2 linked regions of the Saccharomyces cerevisiae S288C genome follow. Changing the gene in region 2 together with the main gene of any one other region gives a genetic interaction. Each region holds a gene or a part of one and is shown on either strand. Other genes may lie near its edges.

Region 1 (7,361 bases), on a different chromosome or scaffold from region 2:
GACCTCAAATAGTCTATAGTCAAATCATTATTGTCCCATGAATTCATACATGGAAGAAGTATCGTGTACCCCTTATGATTTGATGGTAGATCCAAAAGGTTAAGTTCCTTCAAGAGCATTAGGGAAATAGAACAGTGGTTTTCTGGTGCTAATGACAACACTAAGTCGCCCGGTAATTGAAGATCATCGTCAATAGAATAAATGGACGTATTACCAATCTCATAAGGTTTTGTGTTTAAAATCTTGAAGCGACCATTGATGTAATAACCTTTATTAGACCTTGTGATTTTGAACTTTTGGCAGTGTCCACCTAGTCTTTTAGCTGAAGAGCAAAAGGCGGAGTCATAAATTTGGGTAGGTGCGTATTGAATCGGGCGCAATGAGGAAAAGTCCTGTTCAAGGTCAATTTTACCTTCTACAAAATGGTACAGAAGTGATGGTTTTGTGTACCCACGATCCTCATTAAAAGAGGCTTGTGGTACAAATATGGTGATTTTCCTTCCGTTTTGAATGAATTTTTCAAGGTCTCTGAAGTATAACTCCTTTACGAATTCTGAGCAGTTCAAACCGTGCAAGTACTTTTCAGCATCAAACTGTATATGCGTTCGTAAAAAGTCTAAGTCAGAAAATCCATGCACGACGCCTATTTCAAAAATTCTGTTTGATATGGGTGAGTAATCTGAATTATTTACACTTACTGATGTACCTTCTGAATTACTCTTCATAAAAAGTTTTCGATTGTTTTTATTTTCTAAAATTAGTTCCTTGGGTAAAATACCACCATACACGTCATCAATAATGAGTTCTTGAAGAAGGGAAGTTCTATCTGCGGCCCATTTGGCCTGAGAAATTGTATTAGATTTACCCAATTTATTATATTTGTCAAGTAGATAGTTTATTTCGATTGTATTGAAGAATTTTCGAAAATTAACATCTAAGGGCACTAAAACTGTGGATGAGTTTGTATATGCATTATAGTTTGAAAAACTGCTGATAAAATCACTAAATATCTTTAAATCTTGGGTTTCTTCATCTAGTTGTACCAGCAACTCATTTATTTGAGGTTGAATTAGTAAAAGATTGTTAATACCTTGTAATGAAGCATTCTGGAAACTAGGCAGCAAATCGGGTTCGACAACAGCAATTTCATTGACAAAGCAATGGCGCTCATGCTTTCTCAGCAATAAAGGTGCTTTTGCAGCTCTTTTCTCCAGGTAGGTACCGTTTTCAAGGTCTCTCACTTGCAATACCCTATCATGAATAAGGAAATCTTCAATATGGAAATGCTCCTCAAATTGGTCTGTGGTTTGGTCCCCCTTAATAAATGCTGAATTAATCGGAGCAAAAAGTGTAAAGTTCTGTAGCTCATTTAAGTACTGTACGTGACCAGTTTTCTGAATAATCCTTAAAAAAGTTGAGAATTCAACATTTTCTGAGAGGATATCTATTACTGTGCTAAATGGAAAATCGTCCCCTGGGTTTTGTAGAAGTGCTTGTGTAAGCCCTAATATCGGCAGTAGCCAAAAAATGTATTTAATTGTTTGGATTGCCATGTTCATCAAAGGGCTCCGTTTGATTCAGTTAATACATGCTGTCACTCACAGCAGCTTAGATAAGAAGCCGTTTTGTCTTATTTTCTAGGCCCTTAATATACGCCTAATGGGGAAGTCCGACCGAACAAAATTCTCCTACCGGGTTTTCACGGTAATGTTCTTCCATAAAAAAAGACAATATAGTAAGCTGTTAATATTGATTTGGTGAACTTGAATCTGATATTTGTTTCTATTGCTTACGTATAATACTTTTGCGGTAATTCATTCAAATTTCATACAATGCTAATATTTATACAATTCTACTCGACACGGCAAAAATGATTGGCTAACGATAATCGTGGCTCTTTATATACTTAATATATAGGATCTAGCTATTTAGAACACTCTTTAGATCTAGATGATAGAGAGCGTAGCCCCTTTGTAACTACAGGACAATAATGCTTTTCAAGAAGAGCATTATCCCATAAGGTTGCTGCCTCTGGGTTACTCCTTGAAGGATTATCGGCTTCCATTATGAAATGACCGTTGCCTATTCTATCCTCGGAAGAGTAAAGGCCTGAAATTTCTGGATATCTATTCATTAATTTATCAATAAATTTAAGAATGGCAATACTTGTTTTTTCTGGGGTATGGCTGATGCACATGTACAATCTTTTGGTAAACGCCGTAGCCCTTTCTTTAGTCCCTGATTTAGAGCGGAAAAATACATGGTCCAGAGCCTTTAGCAGAAGTTCTGCTTTGGTAGAAACGTTAACTGATGGTTTTATTATTTCGTTATTGAGTGGGTCAGCCAACCTTAGCGATCTATAAGATAATTCGATGTCTGCATCAAGACAGATATAAGGTAATAGCGCGTAAAGCCCATCGACGAATTTGGACAAATCCACATTAACTTTCATATATTGTGTATTTGAAATAAGTGAGAATGCACTAACGATACAAAGCAAAGCCTTACGGACCTCAGCAGAGGAAAGGTTATCGAATTCAGTGTCACTAATAAGTTCTTTCATTACTTCGAGGAAGTCCCCTAATAGATCAAAGTTGGCCATATTACCAAACTTCGTTAGACCTTCCAAAACCGATCCAATGAGTGTTTTTGCATTGTTTTTCAAGATATTCAAATATATAGTGAAAACGATTTTTAGAATTTCGGATTGGTTTCTTTCTCTTTCCTCCGCAGAAACAGCTTGCTCAGCGTTACGCATTTCTTCCTCAATTTGTTGCATCTCTTTTCGAGCTTTTCTTTGCTTCTTAGAAAGATGGACCCTATCTTTCTTTTTGAGCTTAGGAGCGCTAACGTTACCTTTCAATTTAGTATTAGGGTCATAGTCATGTAAGACATCTAACGATAATAACATATTTAAAACAGATTCTTCGATGTTGAAGTTCCTCGTCTTTAGTATTTTGTTGAAAATTCTTAGTATCTCGAATGATATTGAGCCCTCTTCGTCCTCATTTAATAGAGTTTCAAATGTCTGGATTATTTGAATGGAAGTTGGATCTGTTGAAATTCTTGGTTTACAAATTCTACGCAACAGTAAAGTGAAAATGTCTGTTCTAAAGTTGAAATGGGATGCCGTTGAAATCAATTCTTTTGCGGCTTGAGTGGCCAAAATCCCTAATGAAACCTGTATAGGAGCAGCATTACTGGGAGTTTTTGAAAGACTCTGTAATCTTCCGACGTAATTTTTGTAGTTATAAACTAAGGCTTGCTCAAAGTTTCTAAGCTTGGAGACTTCTTTAGAAACTTTTTCCTTCTTTTCAGTTTCAGTTAGTGGTCGAATTCTATAGCCTGGTATGATACTCTTAAACACGGGGACCAAAGCCAACATGGAAAACTTACAAGTATTAGGATTTTTAGATTCCACCATTTTACATAGACGCCCCAACGCAGCAGTATTTTCTTCAGGCTCCTCCATAACTTTAGTGACTAAATCGGCAATGTCTTCTTTTAGTTGCAGAATTTTTTCCTCCGTATCAGGCTCATCCTCCTTTGCCTCTGCTTCTTGTTCTTCATTAGGTCCCTCATCATCTTCTGAAGAGTCATTAGAGTCTTCGTCTTCCTCATCATCGTCCTTTGGTTTTTCTTGGGCTTTATGCAATTTTCTTTCAACTTTACCGTTAACTTTTATAGGCAGGCCTTCAACAAGATTTGATGTATCAGACCGATTCTTCCGAGGAACCATTTCGTAATCCTGTTCTTCTTCATCCCAGGATGAGCCTTTTGCGCTATATATGGTATTTTCATCCATATCTTCCGGTGCATTTTGGAAAACATTGCCTTCTAACAAGGAATCTTCGTGCTTTCTTTTCTTTGCAGTCCTTTCCTGAATGCGAAATTGAGATCTATTTCTCTTAGCCATTATTACTATGATATCTCCAGCTTTTATCCCGGAATTATACTCTTATGATTGAAGACATAAAATGCCAAGTTTATACCATGAAAATACTATATATGGCAGGCAGGTGAATGAGATGAGATAAAATTTTCAGTTTTCGGGCATCGCTGAAAAAATTCAAAAACTAAAGTAAAACGACGTCCCATGGTCTACTCTACGGTGAAGAAAATGAGGGAAGACATTGAATTTCTGAATCTAAGTAACTACAAAAAAGCATACACTCCATGGAAAGAGTAAAATAGGATAAATTGGTTTTATGTAGTTAAAGAAAAAATACATTGTTATATATGGAGTTTGCTGCGCGCCTAGGCGTTCTCGAAGTTTCTCCTTTGATTTTACTTTTTGGAAGGGCTTTGGACAATTTAAAGAAGATAATTTGAAGTACCCCATCAAATGCTAGAATGAAATATTTAATATACTAAATTAAGGCTGGTATTTAAAAACGTAATCTTATGTGTAGAACCTCAGTGAAAAAGCGCTATTATTAATATAACAGTATTTTCACGGAGCTTTTTTTATTCAAAAAGGTTTTCAAGACTTGGCAGAGGACGGCTGCATTCTCGAATGATAATATAGTATTATCCTTAGGATCTAAATAACTTGCATCAAGAATGATATCTAACTTTTCCTTACCTTGGAAAAGTAAGTCAGTAGCTTCTATAATTTTCTGCATTCTTGTTGGAGTGGCAATAAAATATAGTGAATCTTTATTTTTGTTTGATTTTTTAGAGCTGTCAGTAAGTAAACGTTCCACGGTGGCTATGTCATCCTTTAGTTTACTTTTAGAGAATAATTTGACGCAATTTTTGCCACCGTTTAGACTACGATAAACGTCTGCTACTCTAATATTAGACATAGAAAAAACAATTTTTTTTGGAGCTACGGAAAATTTTTGAATAAAGGCTGGGAAATTGCTTAATCTGCGTTCAGCGTCAAATTTTTCTGTCGAAAGAAAATCATTTCTTTTGAAGTAAAGTTCCTCTAATTCTAAAACACTCAAGTCAGGATTTTTTTCTCGTATCAAAGTTGTTAGGTACTCAATAATTTTTTCTGGTGAACTTGCTGGAAGTGCTTTTCGTTGTGAGACGATATACTGGCTTTCCTCTTTCTTTTTCTCAATTAGCTTTGATTTTTTCTGTAGCTTTTTCTGTCTTTTCGAAATAGGTCTATTCGAATCATCTTCTGAATTTCTCTCCTCTTTTTTCCCATCTATATCATCAACGTCATCGTCATCTTGTTCTATAGACCTCTTTTGTACCTTTTTGGTTGGGGGACTACCATCCTTGGCGTCAAAAATTACTTCATGTTCGGCATCAAAATCATAGGCGAGTCCATCATCTAAATCATCTGGATTAGACATTTTCAGCTCAATTGTCCTGACGATATGTTTAGAAGTTAGTAGCGGGGATCAAATTTCGACTTTCATTGCCTCATCCATGGTCATCTCAAAAATTTTCTCTTCAATTTTTTGGTAAATACCAAGTGCAATGAATGTTTGGGTGTCTTTGAATATTGAATATTACAGACTAAAAATATTATATATTGTAAATTAAAAGTTGATTATTAGTAAATGTACCTGAAATTTCTGTTTTCGATATCAGTCAAGTCCAAAAATTGGTACTTCTTCCTTTCTTGACCTTCTTGTTCCTTATCACGCTTTTCGTTCTCCTTCTTGCAAATGTAGCCAATGTATAATTGTAGGGGAACACAAACACACTGAGTGACCAATAAGGCAATCTTTGCTGGTATGTAACGTGGAGCAGAGTATGCCCTAAACATCTGTGGAGCAATAATACAGGAGACATTGTATACAATCATTGTAATAGCATTTCTAAAAACTCTTTTGGTGTAACCGGAGGTGTTGCATGAATTCCAGATGTAAATATTGGTAATGACACAGGAACCACTGTAAAGCAAGTACAGAGAAAATAAGTTACCGATCTTATGGGATAAGGGTAAACTGATAAGAACGATACAACCTATAATAGCTGGAATATACATAGATGTGGTTATGAGTGTGATATGACCCCAGCGGGACAACATTTGAGTTGTTATAAGAATAATCATAGCCGTAATGGCACCAATAGGCAACTGCAGTAATGCTGTTTCGTACTTGTCGAAACCAAAAGTACCAGTGATGGTCACTGAAAATGTACCAATGGCACCAGTAGAAATTTGAGAACATGCAGTTAATAAAAGCATCGGCCAAGTAAACTTATCATGAAGGAATAGTTCTTTAACTTGCTGCTTCTTAAACTTCTTTGTTTCCAGGCCAGTTTGGTTAGCTCTGATATGCTCAACAACTTGAATTTTTTCCTCTTTGTTTAGGAACCAAGCATTGGTGACGTTATCTGGAAGGTATAAGAATGTTAGAACACCAAACGCAACTGTAACCAGACCAACGACCAAAAACATTATTTGCCAAGAGGTGAAAGCGGTACCATGATAATGTAAAAAGCCAAAAGAAATTAACCCGCCCACAATATAACCTGTACCAGCCTGTGTGGCCCAGAATCCAATTCTTGCACTCTGTTCAGATTTAGTATAGTACATACCACTAATAGCGATACAACCAACTGCACTCGAGGATTCAAAGAGACCTAGGAGAGTACGAACGACCATCAACGAGGCGTACGTCTTACAAGCAGCATGGCAAGCCAACACGATACCCCAGACGGTAATAAAAGTACCTAGGATTTTGGAAATGGGGAATTTTTGAATTAAGTAAGTGACCACAGGTTCCATGAAAATGTAAGCAGCAGAAAAGATAGTACCCAAATTAGAAAATTCGTTACCTTTCAAATGATCTTTGATACCCATAGATGCAGCGTAGTTCAGCAGAGCCTTATCCAAAAACATCAGAAGATATGTACAGCATAAAAAGGGCAGGATGAAGAGGTCAACTTTTCTCAGGACCTTAGGAGATAATTCATGGGAACCATAGAAGTTGGCTTCTTCGCCTGCTACAACATCGTCTTCATTAGCCGTGGAGCTTTCGTCGAGACCGTTCTGTTTCAGGAATCTTAAAGCAACGTCCGCATCGTCTACATTAATGCTCGAGGTACTTACGGAACAACTATCAGCGTTAGCTGCCTTCTTCTCCACGTCCATGGATCGTTGTGACATGTTTTTCATTGTATTGATTTGCTGACACTCTCACTACTTCTCAGCAACAACAAAGTAAACTTTAATCTATCATACTTTGAACTATCTTATATACGTGTATATATGCACCCGCTGAGATGCTCATCGAGATTGCTCATCACCTCTGAAAAGGCTGTCTGTCACCACCATGTTTTCCGCCGGACCAAATGACAGTTCCTTAAGGGAAACTCAAAGAGACTATATTAACTAAGGAGGATCAACCAGATATGCAAAAAAAACAAATAGTTATGACGGCACTCGAACC
Region 2 (6,871 bases):
GATGAAGGTGCAGAAGCCCACAGATTGAGATGGTATGGGGGTATGTCTACAGACACGATCTTTGTAGAAAGAAAGACCCATAGAGAGGATTGGACTGGTGAGAAATCTGTCAAGGCAAGATTTGCGCTAAAGGAACGTCATGTTAATGACTTCTTAAAGGGTAAATATACTGTTGATCAAGTATTTGCCAAGATGCGTAAAGAAGGCAAGAAGCCAATGAACGAAATTGAAAACTTGGAGGCGTTAGCATCCGAAATTCAATACGTCATGTTAAAGAAAAAGTTGAGACCTGTAGTGAGATCATTCTACAATAGAACTGCTTTTCAATTACCTGGTGATGCAAGAGTTCGTATCTCCCTTGATACAGAGTTAACTATGGTGAGAGAAGACAACTTTGATGGTGTGGATAGAACTCATAAGAATTGGAGGAGAACTGATATTGGTGTCGATTGGCCATTCAAGCAGCTAGATGACAAGGATATTTGCCGTTTCCCATATGCAGTCCTGGAAGTTAAATTGCAAACTCAACTAGGTCAAGAACCTCCAGAGTGGGTACGTGAATTAGTCGGGTCTCACTTAGTTGAGCCAGTCCCAAAATTCTCCAAGTTTATTCATGGTGTGGCTACCTTACTAAATGATAAAGTGGATTCAATCCCATTTTGGTTACCTCAAATGGATGTTGATATCAGGAAACCTCCACTACCAACAAATATTGAAATAACAAGACCCGGTAGATCCGATAACGAAGATAACGACTTCGATGAGGATGATGAGGATGACGCTGCTTTGGTTGCTGCCATGACAAACGCACCCGGTAATTCTCTTGATATAGAAGAATCTGTTGGTTACGGGGCTACTTCGGCCCCCACCTCCAACACTAATCATGTTGTTGAGAGTGCTAATGCTGCTTATTATCAAAGAAAGATCAGGAATGCCGAAAATCCTATCTCCAAGAAATACTATGAAATCGTGGCATTTTTTGACCACTATTTTAACGGTGATCAAATATCTAAAATCCCAAAAGGTACTACTTTTGATACTCAAATTCGTGCCCCACCGGGAAAGACGATATGTGTGCCAGTTCGTGTGGAACCAAAAGTTTACTTTGCCACTGAAAGAACCTACCTGTCTTGGTTGTCCATCTCGATATTGTTGGGCGGTGTCTCCACTACTTTATTAACATATGGTTCACCAACAGCCATGATTGGCTCCATTGGGTTCTTTATTACTTCCTTGGCTGTGTTGATACGTACTGTTATGGTTTATGCCAAGAGAGTGGTAAACATTAGACTAAAGAGAGCAGTAGATTATGAGGATAAGATCGGGCCCGGCATGGTTTCTGTGTTTCTAATTCTCTCTATTTTATTTTCCTTTTTCTGCAACCTAGTTGCTAAATGAATACACAGCGTGTTTTTTTTACTGTATAATTAAGTAATAATCATATTAGATATAATAATTTCTTTAGCGCCATTTTTTTATATATGAGAACTACCCTCTTGCCTGAAATGCACACCTTCACCAGGCGCACACTGGTTCAAAAATAGTAAACAAAATCATGCGAAAATACAATAAAAGACGTTAACTTGATAGAATGAAAGCGTACGCAAAGAAACGTATCTCTTACATGCCATCGTCACCATCACAAAATGTTATTAACTTTGAAGAAATCGAAACTCAAAAAGAAAACATTCTTCCCCTGAAGGAAGGCAGATCAGCAGCGGCACTCTCGAAAGCGATACATCAACCACTGGTGGAAATAAACCAAGTTAAATCAAGCTTCGAACAAAGACTGATAGATGAGCTCCCTGCATTAAGCGACCCAATTACTTTGTATCTTGAATACATAAAGTGGCTGAACAACGCCTATCCACAAGGCGGTAATTCCAAACAATCTGGAATGCTCACCCTTTTGGAGCGATGTTTATCTCACTTAAAGGATTTGGAGAGATATCGCAATGATGTTAGGTTTCTTAAAATATGGTTTTGGTACATAGAACTTTTTACCAGAAATTCATTCATGGAAAGCAGAGACATTTTCATGTATATGTTAAGAAATGGAATTGGTTCCGAGTTAGCGTCATTTTATGAAGAATTTACGAATCTATTAATTCAGAAAGAAAAATTTCAATATGCCGTGAAAATTCTACAGCTAGGAATCAAAAATAAGGCTAGGCCTAATAAGGTTTTAGAAGACCGGTTAAACCATCTCCTGAGAGAACTGGGGGAGAACAATATTCAGCTAGGAAATGAAATATCGATGGACTCATTAGAGTCTACAGTACTTGGGAAAACCAGATCTGAATTTGTCAATAGACTAGAGCTTGCAAATCAAAATGGCACATCAAGTGACGTCAATTTAACAAAAAACAACGTATTTGTAGATGGAGAAGAGTCTGATGTAGAACTATTCGAAACTCCGAATAGAGGTGTTTATAGAGATGGCTGGGAAAATTTTGACTTAAAGGCAGAAAGGAACAAAGAAAACAACCTTCGAATATCATTGCTAGAAGCAAATACCAATTTGGGTGAGCTTAAACAACATGAGATGTTATCGCAAAAAAAGAGACCATATGATGAAAAACTACCGATCTTTAGAGATTCTATAGGTAGAAGTGACCCTGTTTATCAAATGATTAATACAAAGGACCAGAAACCAGAAAAAATTGACTGTAATTTTAAACTGATTTATTGTGAAGATGAGGAATCTAAAGGTGGTAGACTAGAATTTTCGCTAGAAGAAGTCTTGGCAATTTCTAGAAACGTTTATAAAAGGGTTAGGACAAATAGGAAACATCCAAGAGAAGCAAATTTAGGGCAAGAAGAAAGCGCAAATCAAAAAGAAGCTGAAGCACAATCGAAAAGACCAAAAATAAGTAGAAAAGCCTTAGTCTCCAAGTCGTTGACCCCCTCAAACCAGGGAAGAATGTTTTCTGGCGAAGAGTACATAAACTGCCCTATGACGCCAAAGGGACGAAGCACTGAGACGTCTGATATCATCTCAGCTGTCAAGCCGCGGCAGTTAACCCCAATTTTAGAAATGAGAGAATCAAATTCTTTTTCTCAAAGCAAAAATTCTGAGATCATTTCAGATGATGACAAGTCGAGTTCGTCTTTCATATCGTACCCACCACAGCGTTGAAATAAAACTAATCCCATGAATGAGTAAGTATACTGGCCAATCGTAAACACATCGACGGCCGACTTTTTTATTTAAAGCACAGATGATATAATGATTATTTAACGAATGATACTTCTATATTAAATCCTATGAGGAGTAATATAAATATAAAAAGGCCAATTTTAAAATGAACGTTTGTCCGATTAACGCTTATGACATACTGTAGGGATGACAAAATTATAGTGAGGACTTTAATTCTATATAAATACATTACAATAGTATAAAAAAACAAAAAAATGTGAAGAAACACCAAATATTAAACGGCAGTAATGAAGTTTAACCTCGAGGCTATTATTCTTGTTTTCTTACACCACTAACAATATCATCAACCCTTAATAGTAAACATGCACTTTCAATAGCGGTTTTGACACTTTGCTGCTTGATGACTTCAGGTTCCCAAATACCGTAACTAACCATATCTACAATTTTCCCCTTGTCACCATCAATACCTGTTGTAAAATTTCCCTGTGCGTGTTTGGCTCTTAGTTGGGATAGGAGTCTAATAGGATCACCACCTGCATTTTGTATCAAAGTACGTGGAATACACTCCATAGCATCAGCTACAGCTTGGTATGGCCATTGCTGGATCCCTTCTAATTGCTTTGCCTTTTCTGCTAATTTGACAGAAACTGCCATCTCGGTGGCACCACCACCTGGGGACAAGGAAGGACTCAACATCACATTACGAGCAACAGCCATAGCATCTTGTAGGTTACGATCTATTTCGTTTAATATATCTTTGGAACCACCACGTAACATTATGGTACAAGCTTTTGGTTCCTTGCAGTTATCCAAAAATGAGAAATATTCGTCCCCAATCATTTCTACTTTGAATAATCCACAGTTTGTACCGACATCACTTTCCTTCAAGTCCTCTACACGATTGACAATGGTTGCACCAGTTACACGAGCAATTCTATTATTGTCTGATTTCTTCACTCTTCTTAAAACACTACATCCACCCTTTAGTAAATAATGCTGTGCTAGATCTGAAACACCTTTTTCAGTGATGACTAGTGTTGGCCTAACGGCTAAAATTTGTTCACACATTAGCTGAACTTGTTCTTCCTCGATTTGTAAAATCCTATTCCAATCTTCCTCCTTTTCAATTTCTATGTTGGTTTGAGATTCACCCTTCTTATATTCTAGTGGACAATCCAAAAGAACAACACGTGGATTCTCTATGTGACGGGACATCTTTGGATGAACAACATCCTTGTTCAATAAGACACCCTTTAAGACGCGAGAATCTAGAACATCCCCCCCAGGAATCTTCTCCACACGGACATATCTTTTGATATCGATTTCAAAATTAGGTTCACCTTCCACAGTTTGTCCCAGGTCTTTACGGACAGTCTTAACAGCGTCTAGAGCTAATTCACACATTTTCTCTGACCAATGTATGACATATTTAGTACCGATAGAGGCTTGAATCAATTTTTTCATAGCGGCATCATTTTCCACATCGACAGGTTTACTTACTTGTTTGATAACTTCTAGTGCATCAGTCAGTGCTTTCTTCAAGGCTTGGATAATAATAACAGGGTGAATATTTTTTTCAATCAAATAAGGTGCACACTGAGCTAAAATCTCACCAGCTAGAATAATAACTGTTGTAGTCCCGTCACCAACCTCTTCGTCTTGAGTACGGGATAACTCCAACATTGATTTAGCTGCTGGATGTGCAACATCAATTTCCCTTAAAATAGCGTGGCCATCGTTAGTCAACACAAGACCGCCCATAGGATCCAATAACATCTTTAACATAGCTTTTGGACCTAAGCAAGTTCGAATGACATCGGCAACTGCCTTTGCAGCAGTGATATTGGAGATTTGGGCCTGACGACCGGTAGTTCTCTCTTGAGAAGCATTCATAAATACCACTGGAGCTTGCATTGTGGCTTATATCACTATTGTACTTGATGATTTTCAACGTATGATCACTCGATATTATCGATGCTTTTTTGATATAATGCTCTCTACTCACTTTATTGAGTGGCGATTTGCTATTTTTTTTTCTTCGCACCATGCGTCACGTTAAACGAAAAAGTTTAGTATTAGGATGGAAGTATATAATATCACATAAGATTATATCAGGGTATATTTGGCTATACAGAAACTGTACCACAAATATATACACTGTATGTAAGTTTTTGAGATGTGGCTATATATGCGAAGAACTATGCAATGGGCGAAGTACTTGCGACGATAGGACGTTCGCACATAGAACTTTTGTATTCATGGGCGTTTACTTGCAATTGATTCATCATATTAGTCGTTTCAGAACTAACATTGCTTTTATCACTCAATGAAAATTCCTTCACAGAATTATCCTTGTCACTCATGCAATTAAGTTTAGAGTGATCCCTCGTAGTATTATACATGCCCATTACATCACTAAAGGTCCTGAAGTTGAGTTCTGTGTTTCTCTTGGAGACTTTTGTCATTCTTTCTTGCAGGTAGCTAGAAAATCTTGACATAGTTAAAGCCATAGTATCGTCAGTATCTTTTTCTTTCAAAGGATTAAATTCCTGGGTCATCAAATGGGCAATCTCCTCTTCAGCAAAATAATCCACTGAGGGCAATTTAGGTAATCCAAACATTAACGAATTTATATCGGTTCTTTCTGTCTTGAATTGAACTGGACGCCCATAAAGTCTTGCACAATCCATCAAAGGAATAATGAACCTGATCATTGCTTCCAGGTGATGTACGCCATGATGGGGCAATGGCCTAATCAAAAGCCCATTTGTACGTGTAGTGAAGTTAGTTATAGGCTTTTTTGTTGATCTAGAAGTTAACGAACTTACATGGGAGCTATTTCTTCTGTGCCCTTTAGGTGAAAAGAAAGTTCTACTTTTTGGTGTAGTGTTAGGACTTTCATTATTCAATGCTGTCGAGCTGCTGTCACCACTGCCGTTGTTTGCACTACTATAGATGGATCCACTATCCACCACATCATTAAAGTCCGTATCACTGCAAAAGCGTACATTACCAACGAGCTTTATCATTTGCAACCCTTGAAAAAAGTCGTTCATATTTTTAGAAGGTTCTGCCGCATTGATGTTATAAAAGAAAATATCTTGAACGTACTCATTGTCAGGAATAAAAAAAACGCAGTTCTTGCTAGATGTGGATTTGTCATCTCTATAAAACCGTATTTGATACTTTCCTTTAGCATCATTGTCACTACTACTTTTAGAATTATTGGTTTTAGACACTTTATCAATATGACACCACACTTTCACCCAACCTTGACCATCAAGATAAACTTCACACCAATCCTTAAAATTGAACGGCGAGTTCAAAATGATATGCATATCAGACATTCTCAGCCCATAAGAGGAAATCACTGTGCCTGTCAAGGCCTTATATATAGAAATGAACTCAAAAATAGAAATCATACACAACCTTTTGAACTTCTCCAGTAAACCAAAATCGTTACATGTGATAGATAGTTGGCCATTATTGAATTGCAGGAACTCTCCAACGCTTGAAATTTCACATTGGTTTATGTTGGAAGGGGAATCTATGATGGCCACGTCTGCGACTTGTACAGAGGAATTTGTGATAATTATATGAGAGCCGAGCAAAGAAATTGACTCTGCTTCAAAAACATGTCCAGAAGAATCCTTAACATTCCATACAGCCTCAGCGTCGGAAGATTGGAAGTAAATCTTATTTGCGTGTGCT

What was found.
Region 1: of CCT3 (region 2) and NOC3, extra expression of one rescues a mutant of the other (dosage rescue), as found in Saccharomyces cerevisiae (one study listed by BioGRID).

The regions. Positions count from the first base shown.
Region 1 is NC_001144.5:152,419-159,779, forward strand, and holds NOC3 (Noc3p), read right to left. Parts: upstream 3,917-7,361; coding exon 1,925-3,916; downstream 1-1,924. Other genes in the region: YLR001C (uncharacterized protein), read right to left, coding at 1-1,559; CMS1 (Cms1p), read right to left, coding at 4,437-5,312; THI73 (Thi73p), read right to left, coding at 5,516-7,087. UniProt on the Saccharomyces cerevisiae protein: Required for synthesis of 60S ribosomal subunits and the transport of pre-ribosomes from the nucleoplasm to the cytoplasm. Also required for initiation of DNA replication.
Region 2 is NC_001142.9:405,761-412,631, reverse strand, and holds CCT3 (chaperonin-containing T-complex subunit CCT3), read right to left. Parts: upstream 5,075-6,871; coding exon 3,470-5,074; downstream 1-3,469. Other genes in the region: VTC4 (Vtc4p), read left to right, coding at 1-1,398; MAD3 (Mad3p), read left to right, coding at 1,592-3,139; TPH3 (Tph3p), read right to left, coding at 5,359-6,871. UniProt on the Saccharomyces cerevisiae protein: Molecular chaperone; assists the folding of proteins upon ATP hydrolysis. Known to play a role, in vitro, in the folding of actin and tubulin. In yeast may play a role in mitotic spindle formation.